Linked DNA regions of Lonchura striata. The protein of the gene in region 1 interacts with the protein of each later gene in a pairwise test. Links are inferred from orthologs where the notes say so. Each region holds a gene or a part of one and is shown in the gene's direction. Other genes may lie near its edges.

Evidence for each region. The genes of interacting proteins can lie anywhere in the genome.
Region 2: the proteins of LIN7A (region 1) and PALS1 interact in binary tests that used the Homo sapiens proteins (3 or more experiments, as listed by UniProt). The two-hybrid records come from large-scale screens. The link is inferred for Lonchura striata from reciprocal best matches to the Homo sapiens genes LIN7A and PALS1.

The regions. Positions count from the first base shown.
Region 1 is NC_134607.1:49,054,631-49,062,475, reverse strand, and holds the start of LIN7A (protein lin-7 homolog A), read left to right. Parts: upstream 1-4,822; 5' UTR 4,823-4,828; coding exon 4,829-5,108; intron 5,109-7,845. UniProt on the Homo sapiens protein: Plays a role in establishing and maintaining the asymmetric distribution of channels and receptors at the plasma membrane of polarized cells.
Region 2 is NC_134608.1:32,711,763-32,719,549, forward strand, and holds the start of PALS1 (protein PALS1), read left to right. Parts: upstream 1-4,712; 5' UTR 4,713-4,847; intron 4,848-7,787. UniProt on the Homo sapiens protein: Plays a role in tight junction biogenesis and in the establishment of cell polarity in epithelial cells.

The DNA.
Region 1 (7,845 bases):
ATATTAATAGACTGGACAAAGACCATAGGTGGATAATTCATTATTATGGTCTTTCATTATCTGAGGAGAGTAAATCAATACTTTTGTTCTGTTGTTCAAATAACTAAAAACCCTATGTGAATTCATTCATTATGGGCCTGTTTTCACTACAGGTTCAGTGCTTGCAGCGAAGCTTTCACTGGCATTAAACTAACTGAAGATATCTGTAGTCACACAAAGGGTAACTTGCACTTTTCTCAAAGGTCCTCAGTACTGACATAGTAATAATCTCATTTTTAAAACAGACAAAATAAGCAAAGTCAGAGTAAAAAAGGGATTCATGTTTCAGATTTCATATATATCCAAAGGTAGTACTAGATTGAAGGTCAGATTTATAATTGCTTTTAAACTGCTTCCCTGCCTAAAAGAAAGGGGGGACCATGCCTACCAAGGCGCAACCTACTTTCCCCAACAGCAAATATAGGCCTACCAGCAACAGGTTTGCTTTTCTTAGCTCTTACAGTAATTATTTTTAAGAGGCTACATCCACTTAGAAGATTCTATACACTATACGTGGAAATTTACCAGACAGAGCAGACCCTCCACCTGAATTTCAATGTAGCCCAAGGCAAATTTTGGCAAAGCTTGACCCTATTCTCCCTGTTGTCAACTTCAATTAAATCTTTAGCAAAACTGGGGAAAAAAAAGGCCAAATTGATTTCAGTGTTTAGGAAAAAACCAGTAATTGCACAATCTACAAAAAAGTAATCCATTACACAATATTAGAATGCAAAATGAGTCCTGTAGGGAAGTGCAGTTCTGTGGTAGAGGGTAGTACAGTGGAAAAATACTGAACTATACACAGCTGTGCATCCATGGTAGCTGTGCATTCAGCTCACCTGAAATATTATTTGAGATGACATGGCTCTCCTGGGACAAAATGAACTGTACTTGTGAGAAACACATAGAGTCTTCAGAAAGAACTAAATCACATTTCTTATGAGTAACCAATGCAGCTCTTTGCCCAATAAACAAGCTGCTGTTAAACCATCGAATTCCTCAAATAGCAAGTTCTGCCATGGAAACTGCATGGAAAATAACCTATGGATTTTTTTTTTTTTAATGGAAGGTTTCTTTCCCCTTTAGATGCAAAATGCTACTCAAAAAGCAAATCTGAATGACAACAAAAATCCTCAGTCTTCTGACCATTCACAACACTACAAAACTCCTGCAGTCTTTGCTTTTAGTTGTGCTGAAGTGCAAGGCACAAACTCAGAGAGGGAAGGTTTAGATTAGAGGATATGAGGATAGTCAAACACTGGAAAAAGTTGCCTAGAAACAGGGATGCTCCATCCCTGGAAGTGTTCAAGACTAGGCTGGATGGGGTTTTAAGCAACCTGTTTTACTGAAAGATAACCCTCAACATGGCAAGGGGGTGGAACTAGATAATTTTTAAGGTCCTTTACAACAATTGGCTCTGGCAGCCAATGAGCGCCTTCAGAGTGGTGCTGGGTTTTTCCACATTGCATTACACTGTGCTGCATAGAAATAATTCTCTGGTTAATGTAGCACCAGTTCTTGAGGGAAGACAAAGGATCATAAAAGTCAGCAGAGTAACAGATATCATCTAACCTCCTGAATACTGGCCCCATTGTATTTTCTTTAGGCATTAGATCCAAGCAAGCCATTTATACAGACCTCTGATTTTTAAGATTTCAAGCAATCACAAGTAACTGATCCCTATATTATCCTAATAGCTAGAGCAACACAGCTTACTCAAGGTTGTGTTTGTTAAACTTCCAGTCATGGGATCACCTTACGTAATAAGACTATAAATTTAAAGACTTTAAATCTCTCCAATATTATGACTCTTCCTACATACAGTGATTCATTCTCTTCTTATCCCTTTTCTTTGATAAACTTTGTTTAAAGTCCTTCAACCTCATGTCAAAACTGACTTTCTGTCTTAAAAGGCAAGCATCACATCTGGACACAGTATTCTAGTCAGTTGCTCTATACAGAAGAAAGATAATTTCCCCTGTTTGTGTTTGCCATTTTTCATTTATATATCTGTGTTGTCCTTTTGGTGACATCCCAAAAAGAACTTACACTGAATGCACTACATAAGAACATCCCTACCAAAAAACATTTCCAGTCCTGAAGTAACCATTGCGTTCTTCATTGCTTGCTTGCAGCAGCATTAAAACACATTGTTTTTTAAAACCTAACAATTTAATCCAGCTATTCCGATAATTCTTACTAGTAATTTAGACAGTTTACTACAGAACCATCAAATAATTTATGTTGAAAAGGATCTGAAAAATATCCAGTCTAATCTCTTGCTTAAAGCTGAGCTAGTGTCACAGTAAGAACAGGTAGCCCAGGCCCTTTCTCAGCCTCTCTGGACACCCATCTTTCACAGTTTACCCACTTTCAGGCAATTTTTTTATTTTACATAATAAAATATGCATTATCTAAAAGCATAGCCATGGAAGACTTTATGACCACATTTTAGGTATTTTTAAAAAATAGCTAAACTTTGTTTAAAAATTTAGCCACAAAAAGTATACAGGCCTAATTAGCAACAGCCTTCTACACTGGCACCTGACCACTGAGAAGCGTTATAGTCCATGTAGCAGATACAAAATCTGTTAATTCAGCCTAATTTCATTGGTTTAGTAAAACAGCATGCAATATTGAATTAGAAGCTCCAATACAGCCCAATGAAACAAGAAGACTGAGAGTCAGACCAGTTGTTTCTGTCAAAAAAGATTTACTTTGTATGATGGCAGGCTGGCTGGTACTCCTTTTGACTGTTAACTTTAGCTATTAGTGCCCTCCATTGCTCCTGGGAGTTATCAAAGCAACAGCTACTGCCTCATTCACCTGCTTTCTCCAGCTGCTAATTTCAGCTGTGTAACTTCTGCAATTTTCTGCAAAAGTTCAGCTGCTTAAAGTATTCCTCCTCTAAGTCTTTAACATTCTTAGGAACTGTACAGCTATGCTGATTAGAAAATGTTTAATTTCAGCAGACGCTGCTTTACATCTTCCTTGAGTGCAGTAATACTTCAAGTCTCTTATCCAAGTGCCAATTAGTCCTTGAAGCACACAAAATTTGACCAGCAGTAGATAAAAGATAGACCCAGAAAGATCTTATGGCTTTCCACAGGCTCACTGCTCTTGGCATTAATACTATGTATTTATTGGTAGAGAAGTTACTGCTATGACAGCATTTTGCTTCAAAACGTGTTTGCAAGATAGCACTCTAAGAAGGCAAGTCTGAGGGTTATGAAGTCATACATGGAAAGAAACTTGGTTTTCATATTTACCTGGGTAATTTACTTGCCATCTTGCTCTTAATTTTATTTGAACACACTTCTTTAACTTTTAATAAAGTTTTTTTTAAAATGTCATAATTGTTTGAATGCTGTCACATTTGGTTGTTATAGTTCCAAATGTTTACTCCTTCTCCATTTGGGACTATGAATCTAATACACAGTAACATGACTACTTAAGAGGAGCTATTACACTTTATGTCAACCCAGCTGCTATGTACATAAAAGTTGCATAATAACAATTCTGATGTTAATTTTGATTTTAAAAACTGTTTGCCAGGAACTATTTTTCCACTTTTGATATTTAAGCTAATTAAAATATTTTCTTGCCAAGATAACCAAATATGTTAATGTTTATCGTTATTTAGATAAATTGGTGCTGAATTCAGTTTATCAGAAGTGGGTGGTTCATATGAATATTAAACTCCTCTAATTTTAGAACAGCAAAATGTATTTTTAATCTGCTCTGGAAAGTTTAAGTGGCAAATTTTCCACATCTTCCCTAATTCTTTATACTACTGCTTAAATACCTCTGCAGCTGAAAGCTTTTATTCATGTGCATCCTTGTACTGCTGTACTTTCAAGTTCTCTGTGGTATGTGAAAAAGTAGTGGGTGAAGAGAAGAATGCTACCTTGCCCTTTATCCCAGTTTATTCCATACATGCCTAAGGTGCTCATGTGCTACACAGGGAAATAGTTAAAAAGGACACTATTCTGCATTCAATTTATTTCTCTACACCATCATCCACCAAAGAGAAGGCAGCAGCAACTCAGTGGAAATCTGCCAGCCTATCACACCTTTCTCGGATGGCAACTGACCACGTTCCTTTCTCTTCTTGTGGACGACAAGGTAGGCTGCCGAAAAACCTCGCAGAACTCCAGTGAAATTCCACCTTCGTGGGTGGTTTTTGACAGAGGCCTCCATGTTCACACGAGCTGTAGCTGACCTGCAAGAGGCGGCTGCCGTGTGTGTGTGACCAGCCCCTCGCGGTGGAGAGCTGGTGCGTGTGCTGTGTTTCTGAAGGACGGCCGGCCGCGGATACCAAGTAGAAGAGAGATGATGGCTGGACTGATGAGGCCGGCGCCCTGGTCCATCCAAAAGGGTGGCACCTGATATGTCCCTTAATCCAAGGCCCTGCACAATGGCAGGAACCGCCTAGCCCGGCTCCGCGCGCGGGTTTTCCTTCCCGCAGGCAGCCCCGGGAGCCGGGCCTCACCAGGCACACCGCTCCCCGTGCCGCCGGGCCCGGCCCGGCCCACCGCCCCCGGCCCGGGCGAGGCCGGGCCGCCGGATCCCGCCGGTCCTCCCCGCCCCGCGGCGCTGCGGAGCTCCCGCCCTCGCCCCTCTCTCTTCCTCCGCCGGCAGCTGCGGCATCCCCGGGGCGGCGGGACCGGCAGCGAACCGCCCCCCGCGCACGGCCCGGGCTGCTGCGGTCTCCGCGGTGCCGGTCCGTGCCCGAGGCGAGCGCGGCGAAGCGGGGCGGCTCGCCAGGCCCGGCTCCCGCAGCGCAGCCATGCCGGCAGCCCGCGCCGGGCCGCGCCGGGCCGCTCTGCGCCCGCAGCATCGCGGCGGCCCGTGTGCGATGAGCCGCCCACCCCTGGGCACCTTCTCCGCCCCGCTCGCCTCCTCCTCCCACGGAGCCACCCTCCTCCTCCGCCCCCTCTCCCTGCCAGCCTCCTCCCCGCCCTTCCCCGCACTCCACGCCGGTGCCGGAGCCGCGCGTCACTCGGGCTCCAGCCCCGCCGCAGATATGGCGACACTGACAGCGGTCCAGCCGCTCACGCTGGACAGAGGTAAGCGCGGCTGCCGCGGCTCCCTGGCCGCGCCTCCCCGGCCGCCCTGCCCGGGGGCCACCGCGGCAAGCGCCGGCTCTGCCCCCGCAGCTCCGGCGGGCGGGCGCTGCCGCGGCACAGCTCCGGCCCCGCAGTGCCCGCGGCTGGCGGCGGCGGCGGGCAGCGGGGATGCCCCTCTCGGCGGGGTTCAGGTGGGCGGCGAGAGAAGGTCTGAAACGGAGGGGATAAAACTTTGTGCGGGCAGGGGCCGGGATGGGGCGGGTATCCCGCCGCCGGTAGCGCCGCGGTGCCGCAAGAGCAGGACGCGGCTCCGCGGTCAGCGCTCCGGTCCGGAGGCGCTCCTCGGTGCCGCTCCGCCGCCCCCGCCCCGCGGGGCTCCCCGGGGGCGGCCCCGCCGTGGCTCCGCGCCGAGGCCCCGCGTCGCCACCCCCGCAGGTGGCTCGGCGGGGGATGCTCGGTGGCGGGGCAGCGCCGCTCCGGCTGCGGGCCGGGAGCCCACGCCTCTACGAGAGCGTTGTTTTCCGGCAAAATACGGCTTTTTAGGGGCTTGCGCCGCGGTGTGCGGGGATGGTTTCCGTGACTGCAACTTGTCCGTTCGCATGCAGAAGATCGGTTCTGCGTATTCGCGTAGACAGATGCGCGGTCCGGGTAGGGAGAGCATTGGTGTTTGGGTAGCCTTGAGGCTGTGTCAGTAGTAATCTTATACAGGGTAGCATAAGAGGGTGCTGAAATCTTGAAGTTTACAATTAAACTTTTGCCTTCAGGCTGTAAAAATTGAACTTCATACCCTAGCAGTGCAGTTGTTCCCGTAATATGGTTCACCAGAAACCTCATTCAAATCGATTTCTGTGGGTTACAAGGGAGAGCAGCTTTGCTCCTACCCCTCCCAGTACGGCATTCTGAATTGCCGAGATGTCCTTCTTCCTCTTGCATCCAGAGGCTTCAAGAGGCTCCCAGTCCCTATAAATCTTGTACTCTTGAAGGAATAATTGAGGCCAGTGCCTTGCTGTTTTAAAAGTTTGTTTGTTTGTTTTTTCCAAAGGATTAAGACGAATTTGTTGAAGTAAGATGGAGATTTTTTTTTTTCTGTGAATCCTATGCAAATGAAACACAAACTCTGTTTCAAAATTGTAAAGGAGAGGTAGGCACCATTTCTAGAACCCAATTGAGAGCAAAACAGCCCACAAAGTACTCCACTTAGATTCCAGCATTAGTAGAAAGAGAGAAGCTAAAGTTATTTTTACTGAAATAGCAAAGTGTTAGCCTGCATTTTAAATTAAACTGCTCAGAAATCCACTGTGTAATCTACAGTTTCACCCTAATACTGTTTTCAGTAAGCAGGACAAATCTACTTTCTGGCAAAGGGTTGAACAGATGGCAATCCATTAGCAAACCTGACTCTTCAAACGAAATACTACTATTTCAGAATTATACATCCCTTTTTGCAAAACAATGCTTTAAAAATTCCACAATGCGCAAAAATGCAAATTAGTTCCAATTTAAATATAAGCATCTGCTATCTGTGTCCAGGATATGCCTAACCATTTGGCAGGCATGCCAGTGTTACAGTCTTCCTGGTTGTCAGCTACGGCTGGTATTCATATGAGTGAGATAAAACATCACAGAATGATAGGATGTGATGTGCAAAACAAAAACACAGGCAAGAGGAAATAGATTTAAATAGTGTTCCTGACCTGCAGAAGGCCATTTCGTCAGAGGGATACACTTCATCACTTTGTAACATGCGGCTGCATCAACTGTAGAGAATAGGCTGAAGCAATTCCAGAGGCAACTAGACCACACCAGTGCTTCCAAGTATTTCCTCTGTAGTCTTTCTTTCACAGTCATGGGAGACGGGAAGTTCTACATAGTGAGATTTTCAAGATTCCTGTTACTTTGGTTAAAGCACATGAGCCATGTTTACAGTCACTATGCCTTGCACTTTTCTGCTTTGATCTTTAAAAGTCCCTTAAAAGTCTTGTACCCTCATATCCATTTCACTCAGCATAGCAATAAAATAGGGAGCATTTCAGGAGAGGTAGTATTGTTACTCTTGTATTTCTGAGGGAATTGCTTCTTGATCTCTGTCCAGGAATTGTTCTGCATTCCTCCTTGCTATGGGTCACTGACACTGGTAAAACATCATAAGGATATATACATTAGAAATATGAATTACACTCTGACATTGTCTCCTCCTGGAAAAAATATAATGACTGTATTCTAGTACGTAGATGGGAGCTTTCTTAAAGCCTGACATAAATGGCATTCAAAACCTGTATGGTAAAATGAATTACCATTTAAAGGTGAAGGGCATGGTGTGTGTGAATGATTGAAAGCCAATTATATTCTGGAAGATTACTTCAGTCCAAAGCACAGGAATTAATTTCCTTAATTCCTATCATCATGTGCCTTTCTACCTGCACAAATGTGTGCAAGTTCCATTAGGGCTCTTTAATATGTAGAACAAGTTCGCAAAATAATGGAAATTTTAATCACTTACAATTTAATCTCTAAGGCTTTTGCCTGACCTTTGCATGGTGCTCTGTTGGGAGGAGGAGAAGAAATCAGCAACTGTTTCAGGAAGGAAACCTAAGGCATTGTAGTGAGGAGTGGTACCACTTAGGGAAGGTGGCCCTAGCATTTGGGAGCTCTGGGAGAGGGATGTGCCTCCTGGGTGTCTTCCAAAAGCCAAGGGAGTCACGTCTTGGAGAAAATGCTCCCTTCCTACCTTTATTGC
Region 2 (7,787 bases), on another chromosome or scaffold:
ATGTCTTCTTTCAATAGGATTTACCACCTAAGTATTTTCCTTAGGCAGTATCAACTGCTGAAACTTTTGTTAGTTCTTTTTGTTGGTTCTTCCCCTATTTTCTCACAGATCCCTGAGCTATCTCATAAATTGTTATTTCTTCACAAACAGAGGAAAAACAAGAATCAGCAAACAGACACAAAGAGAAAAGACAATCACTAATTTGAGTAAAACTTAATAGGGGAAAACAGTGGAAGAAGGATAATTTTTATTGCCTGTTCTTTCTTTTCTGGATTAAAAATAGTGCCCCAAAGTGTTACACTAACAACCTCACTTCTAGTTTTTATTTGGGGCATCCATGTTCTGGGAACCATTCCTATTTCTGAGCTTAAAACCTCACATTGAGGGATGGACAGTACTGCCAGATTTAAGACATCTCTTCTGGAGATTAACCTTTCCCTGCAGCTGAACTTCTCTTGTGTTTATGACCCTACTCATAAATATTATGACCTTACTTGGAATTGTACAATTTTTATCTGAAGGATTATAAGGAGTGGCAGAGGGCACTAGAAACCAGAGAGGAAGATGTTCTGGCTACCCAGATGAAATTGAATGCAGAATGAGGTTATTCAATAGGAAGTAAGCAAAAATTCTAGATGCTATCAAGAAGAAAAATGTAACTACATTTGAATCCTTAGTATTTGTTGTCCTAAACAATGAAAAATGTTGAAATTAAATTGGATTCCTGTAATTGATTTCAAAATTTAGGGTGTCTGTTGCTGGGTTATGGACACTGAGAAGTCTACTTTTTTTTCCTTGCTTAATGCAGAATTTGCCTTAGGGACTTTGGTGTTTTGCATTCTTCTTCAAAACATTAGATACTGAATGAAACCAGTCCTACATGTGGACTAGTGCTGCTGTTACATTCTTTCAGATGGCTGGGGTATGTGTCTACTTAAGAGTTAAAACAATAATCAAATTTGTAGTCAGGAGGTATCAGATTGTTGTAAATCAGACTGGAAAGTTCACTGAGCAATGCTGTCATTTCCCCACCAATATAGGGAGAATATATAGACAAAGTCTGAGCAGGCAGGAGTTCACTTTCATTCATATTCAATTACAGGTGACATTTAAATGTGATAATCCAAGATATAATCAATATCTGAAGGCCAAGAGAAAAATCCCTGTGAGGTTCTCAGAGACAGGAGGAAAAAAGTCTATTTCAATAGATGTCAGACAAGAAAGTAGAGAGATAGAAAGAACAGTACATAATTTCTCAGAGCTGTGCAAGAATTAAAGATCAAGAAGAAAAGGGTAATCAAGATAATAAAAGAACTAACCAACCAATCAAACAGCAGAAAGGTCAAGAAAGAGAATGGAATACAGAGTGTGGCATAGGCAGACAAGAATGCCTCAGGGATTGCATAAAAATGTATTTTGGCAAATAAAGAGGGATGACACCAGCTTGGAAAGGATCCAAGGTGGAGTTAGAAGAGAAAGTACATCTGCTGTAGAACTGATGCTCCATGAGTTTAGAGATAAAGAGTTTAGAGATAAAGGGGAGGAGAGTTATGGGGCAGACAGATGGGGATTACTTCTTCAACCCACTGACATAAGCACTGTGGCCAGTGAGGCCCTTCTGACAGCACTGCTTTATTGCAACCCTCTGTAGAACCATTCAGAGATTGCAAAGCACAAATATAGTTAAATAGTGAAATAAAAAGGAGTTCTCTGATCCCTTGGTGATTTTTCATTTCCCCTCCAGAGGGCAATGGTTTCAAAGAAAACATTTTGTTCTATGTTAGGCTGATTCCTCAACTTGAGTCAGAATTTTTTTTTTCTCTTTTCTATTGATTGCAATCAGCCAGATTTAGATTGATCACAATTATATCTGCACCCTGCTGGTAAACAGTGACACTAATTCATGTCAAATTCAATTCGTCAAAAATGAACATTTTCTTTGTTAAAAAATATTTGTCTGTGGAATTAATACACCAATCTTAAAAATAAAGTTCTATAATAAATAATGTTGCCTAAATACACTGGTTCTGCAGCTGCAAGCAGGCTTTAATGTTTCCATAATGCCAAATAGCAAAAACATAGAAAAATTGTTGTCTAAAATTAAAATGTTCAAAGATCCAAGCTCACAAAAGGTATCACTTGGGTATTTATTTTTAGTTCCTTTCTACTTAAAGATAATAACTGAACACTTTGAACAAGAGATGAAACAGAAAGCTTTATACTACTTTGGTAGGTAGTTTTCTCATTTCCTTTAAAAGCTGTCTTTATAGATCCTCATATGAAAGATTAATCAGCTAAAACAAAACAAAGGAAGATTAAAAGCTTTGATCTTCCCAATCATAATTCCATTGTCATTCCTCATCCTCCCATTCACCTTCCTTCTCTGTATCTTTTCAATTTGAAGATTTTGTTAAATTTAAGCTAAAATGTTTATTTTCTCAGAGTAATTACTGTGTTCTCAGCATATCACCAAACAGCACCCACAAGACAAAATGAACCATAAGAGCTGTCTATTGAAGTGATTCAAAACAGAAAGGTTATCTGGGTCCTTACGAATAATGCTGCTGATCCTGTTCTCTATTGTGAATCGTTTTCAGGTATGACAACTTCTTGGCCTGACAGAGTACTTTAATCTGTTGGATAGAATTAGCCAAGCACATCTCATTCAAGTACCATTTGAATGGATTTGCCAGCTGGGCACAGGCTAATATTAGGGTTTCTGTGATGCCTTGTGAAAGCCAGAGGGAGGAGATTGGTTACCAAAGAAACAAACAGATCCTTAAGCAGATATATCCAAGAGATATTCCAAACTCAGTCTTAATCTGGTCTGGTAACCCCTTCTGGCAAAAAAAAAAAAATAAACTTCAGCTACAAGACAGTAAAGACAGTAAAGGAGGAAGTTCTAGAACTGATGAGAATCTTTCTTTATTTTATGACAAATTACACACCATATTGAAGAAAATTCCTTTATGCTGGCTTTAAAAATAGCTGCTGGACAACATGCAAATTGGAGGCAATGAGATTTTCTGTGGAAAGGAAGTAAAAATGCTATCAGCTGAAGGAAATTGTAAGCAGAATTTGTGTCTTTTTTTGTCTGACCATTCCAACCTTGGACATAGAAAAGAGTTCAACAGTGAACAGATAACTGATGAACCTACCTACTTTTTGCAGTCATATCTTCTAGGTAAGTATCACATTTTGAAAACATCCTTTAGTTATAAGGTCCTTTGTCAAAGTGCTTTCTAAGAAAGGGTTCATGTGAACTTTTATGAACCATGTTCATATGAAGGTGCGAAGAACCACGCTTGGTGCTGCTCAGCCACAAATTACCAGTGTCATGGTTTCCCTCTCTTTTTTATTTCCCAAGTAAATAATTCCGCAGTCCACTAACATCTGTATCTCCTGCAGTGTTCCAGTTGTGTTCACTTGATGCAAAGCCCCTCAGTATTGGTCAGAACAAAAACAGATGTTAAATGCACTTATAAGGCATGCTGCCCTGGGGAGTTTGAGTCACAATGTGAAAAGGTAGAAAGGCTTTCAGACTTTACTCTGCAGGTAACTGGTCAGGACATACATTATTGTATTAAGCCTTTTCACAGAAAAAGAAAAACCATAAGAACATTATTTGAAAACATGATATATTGGGTACCATTATAGAAAGTGTGGATTTCACTGTGAAGAATGATCGAGTTAAATTGCACAGATTTTTATACAGATAAACTGAAGCAAGGAGAGATGGACGAAAGCAGGTATCTCTTTAGGACTTCTTAGTTATCTAAGTGAGCCTTTTTTTACTTGTCTGGTTACACAGAACATTTCTTCTAATGCCTTGAGCAACGATCTAGGCAGGCTAGCCTGAAAAACCAGGGAAGTGAGTGCAGTTTGCAGCTCGAAGTCAAACTTAACTGTTGTGCGCTAAAAAGACGTTCCCCTGTTCCTGAAAAACACAGCCAAGGATACAAACAACCCGGTAAAACTACTTGTAACCTCTTGTTTTCTTCATTCTTCCAGACAGAGTGTTATGGGCGCCTTCTATGCCTCAGCCTCCCAGAGGCAGAGTGGACTCTCGATGAGATTAAATACTTTATTGCCCACACAGGCTCCAGCCTGGCTGGGGCATTCAAGCTGGGCTGAGGATGCGGCAGCAGCAGCGGGCGAACGGGGGGATGCCAGAGAGGGTGGAGGAGAAAGGGCGGGGGGCGGCAGCTGGAGCTGGGCGAGGGGGAAGGAGCGAGTGGCCGGGGGGGAGCCAGGTCTGCCCGGGACACGGGCTGCCCTGGTGGTCCCGCTCGGGCCGCAGAGGAAGCCGTGGCAGAGAGATGGGAGATGACGGCCGGAATGGACTGGACTGAAATGGGCTGCCCAGGGAGGCAGGGGAGTCACCGTCCCTGAAGCGTTTAAGCAAAGACTGGCCGTGGCACTCAGTGCCAGGGTCCAGTCGACAAGGTGGTGTTCGGTCCTAGGTTGGACTCGGTAATTTCAGAGGTCTTTCCAACCTACTCGATTCCGCGATTCTGCGAGGAAGGCGACACAGAAGCAGCACCGCGTCCACGTGTCCACGCCACCTGCGGGCGGCGCCGACCGCCGCCGCGGCCTCGGAGGCAGCGCCGCTCGCCGCCCGGCCGAGGCGGCCGTGGGCGGCGCCGCGCCTGCGCGGGGGGCGGGGCGGCGGCGCGGGGGCGGGCCGGGCCGGGCCGGGCCGGGCCGGGCGGCGGCTGCGCAGCGCTGCGGGGGCTGTGGCCGGACGGTTCCGCGGGCTGGGCGCGGGGGCGCCGCGGGACGCCGGGGACTCCGACTTCCAGCCGGCGGCGGGGCTGGAGCGTGTCAGCGGCGGAAAAAGACGGACGGTGAGCGGAGCGCCGTGCCCAGCGCGCGAGCAACAGGTCCCGCCGCGAGTCGCGTCTGGCCGGAGCCTCCCCCGCGGCCACGGCGCCCGCGCAGGCCCGGGGGTCCGGCCGGGCCGAGACCGGGCGGGACGGCGGGGCACAGCCGGGCTCGGCGGCACTCGGGGCTCGGCCCCGGTCCCCGCACCCCGCTGGCGGTGGCCCGGGCTGTACCTTGGCCGCGGGTCCCGGCCGGGCGGGGCGGCCCCGGCCGCGGCGGCTACAGGTGCCGGCGGCGCTGCGGGAGCGCGGGGGCCTCCCGAGAGCGTATCCTGCGGCTTTCCTGCCGCCCTTTCTTGGGATGCTTCCCGGAGCTTAGGCCCAGGAGTTGTAAGAAAACCTCCCTCACTTGGCTGTGTGCTCTCTCTGCGGACTTGTTAAGCGTTGTGTACGAGTTTAAACAATGAGGGGGGAAACTTTAGGGCCCCCTCCTGTGCACTTCTGATGCTCTGGCAGCTCTGTGTTTGGAAATTATTCCTCTGTGAAGTTTTTGCTTCGTATGGGTTTATGAAGCTTTGCGGAGCTAAGTTAAAGCAGGTTGAACGTGGGCGACTTCCAGTGTGTTTTACAGTCAGCAGCAGTTAGCGCACGTCCCGGTTGGAGCGGCTCCGTTTTCCCAAAGCTGTAGTGGTAATGCTCCTGCGGTGCTGCCGCTTTCCTGGCGGAGGCATCGAGGCTGTGTGCTGGGAGAGAGAGACACTACAGCCAGGCAACAAAGAACGCGGTGACTGTGAGCTCGGTGAGACAGACCGCGGGAGAAAATTAAATTAACTTGTATTTGACCTTACTGCGGAATATTTATATACAAACAAAGCTGTCTAAAACAATAATATTGTTAGATGTCTCACATGGGACAGATCCACAAAAAATAACTTCATGAAGAATATTAAAAGCGGTAAATATCAATAAGTGCTATGGAGGGTATTTTCTTTTAAAGATAAAGCCTCTATTGCAATTATTTAGGCGTAGACTATATCCATAGCTCACTTAACAGAGCAAAATAATTTCATTCTAGATACATGATAATATACAGCTGACTGCAGTCAGACTTCTAACAAGTGACTGTGGTGATCTTCTATGTGTTAGATGCTTCTGTTGCCAATGCCTTAAAGGGATCTCTGTCCTTTTTAAAGATTGAGATGTTTTTCATGAATTTGTAAAAAAAGGCATCTTTGTATTGGCTTTAGACATCTGAGTCTGCAAGCTTTTGGTTTTGATCTGTTGTCCAAATTTTCACAGTACATATTTTTTCCTTATGATCATATTAGAGCTGTTACTGCACATCTGAATGCGAAACACTTTAGATCTGCCTGGATGATACACGTTAACTCTTTTCCAACATTGTACTTTAAAAAAAATCCAGTATTTTACACATTAAAAGCTTAAGTAATTGTCTACTCTTGTAGACACTTTTAACATAATATCAAAAATATTACAGTGTTTTGAAGCAATGTTGTAGGATGTTATATTTAATTATCATTGTTAATAATGATAAAGTAATAGAGACTTAAATGTTAGTCCATGATCACTGAACTCTTTAATTATTTTTTTTCAGAGTTTACATTCTTCCAATGTGTGTCATATTACCTTGCAATGTGTGGAATAACAGAGGATGGTGATGTTTTTCTGTAAATAATTAGCTCTTGGTGAAGACTCTAATTTTGTTTAGTTTTTATTAAATTTCTTCTCAGAAATTCTGAACTTAGAAATGTGCATCAAAATATTTCTTCAGTAGACTGATTTATCTGGCTTAGGAATCTGCAGGAATTACTTATGACCTTTGAGGGGTGACAGGCATCTTTCAGTACCACAGCAGTACAAGGTAAAGAACCATAGAAAATGCAGTGCAGAAGTTGGGATTCATACCAAGAGTTACGGATACAGAAAACTTAATGTAGTCTGAAGTTTATGTGCATCCATTTATTGATCCTTGTTTATAAAAAAAATAATTACATTTGTTGTAATAAAAAGATTAAATTTTCCTAATACTTCATTTGCTGCTTTGATTAGAATCTCCTGTTATACTTAGAAGTTGTAGGCTTTTAAGAAACCTACAGCATTTTTAGATGCAAATTCTATTATGTCTCTTCAAAGATTGGATCTTAACATCAGAAGCTAACTGTTTTAACTGTTGCAGCTACCATTTTTTCCCAGTTTGTACTTTGAAGTGCATTCCTTTTACAGTGTTAGGCTTTCAGAATGCTGAAGGCTAAAATTTCAAACAGTGTGGTACTTCCTAGATAGCAGGATTTGTATTTGTATTCATGTGACATGTTCTAAATTTTTAAATATTTAGCAACTGACATTTTTAAAGTATTTTCTCGGTCACTGTTGCAGAAATACTCGACATTACGGTATTTGGAACACTAATTGCTGCCTTGATCACACATTTGAAAACCTCAAGACTTTTTGTAAATATTAATTAAATACTGCTCTATTGTTTTCCTTCTATTAATGGACAAAGAGAGGCATTTGTCCATTTGAAAAGGTTTGCAATATGTCTATGGTAGAAAACTTGGTGGAAACAATTTAAGTGGTGGTTTAAAATCAGGTCTGCTGGCAGAATTGGTTTTCTAGTGTAGTTATCTACTGTGGAGTGTTCCTCAATACAGCAGTTCTGACAACAGGGGCACTTTATGTACACATCCTCTTTCCTTCACTCCCAATCCAGCTAGACAAACTAGACAAAATGTCTCAAGTGTAGTTCAAGCTAAAGTATGAACCAGAAGAAAGAGGAAATTATAACTAATTAAGTTTACATCTCAGACTATTTTAAAGTAAGCTTTTGGGGTTTGTTCTTATTTTTAATGGAAGGTGATCAGTATATGTCTGCTGGTAAAGACTTGTTTTATTATGCTGAGGTGTCTAATTGCAGATTAACACATAGCTGTGTGGGAAGAAAAA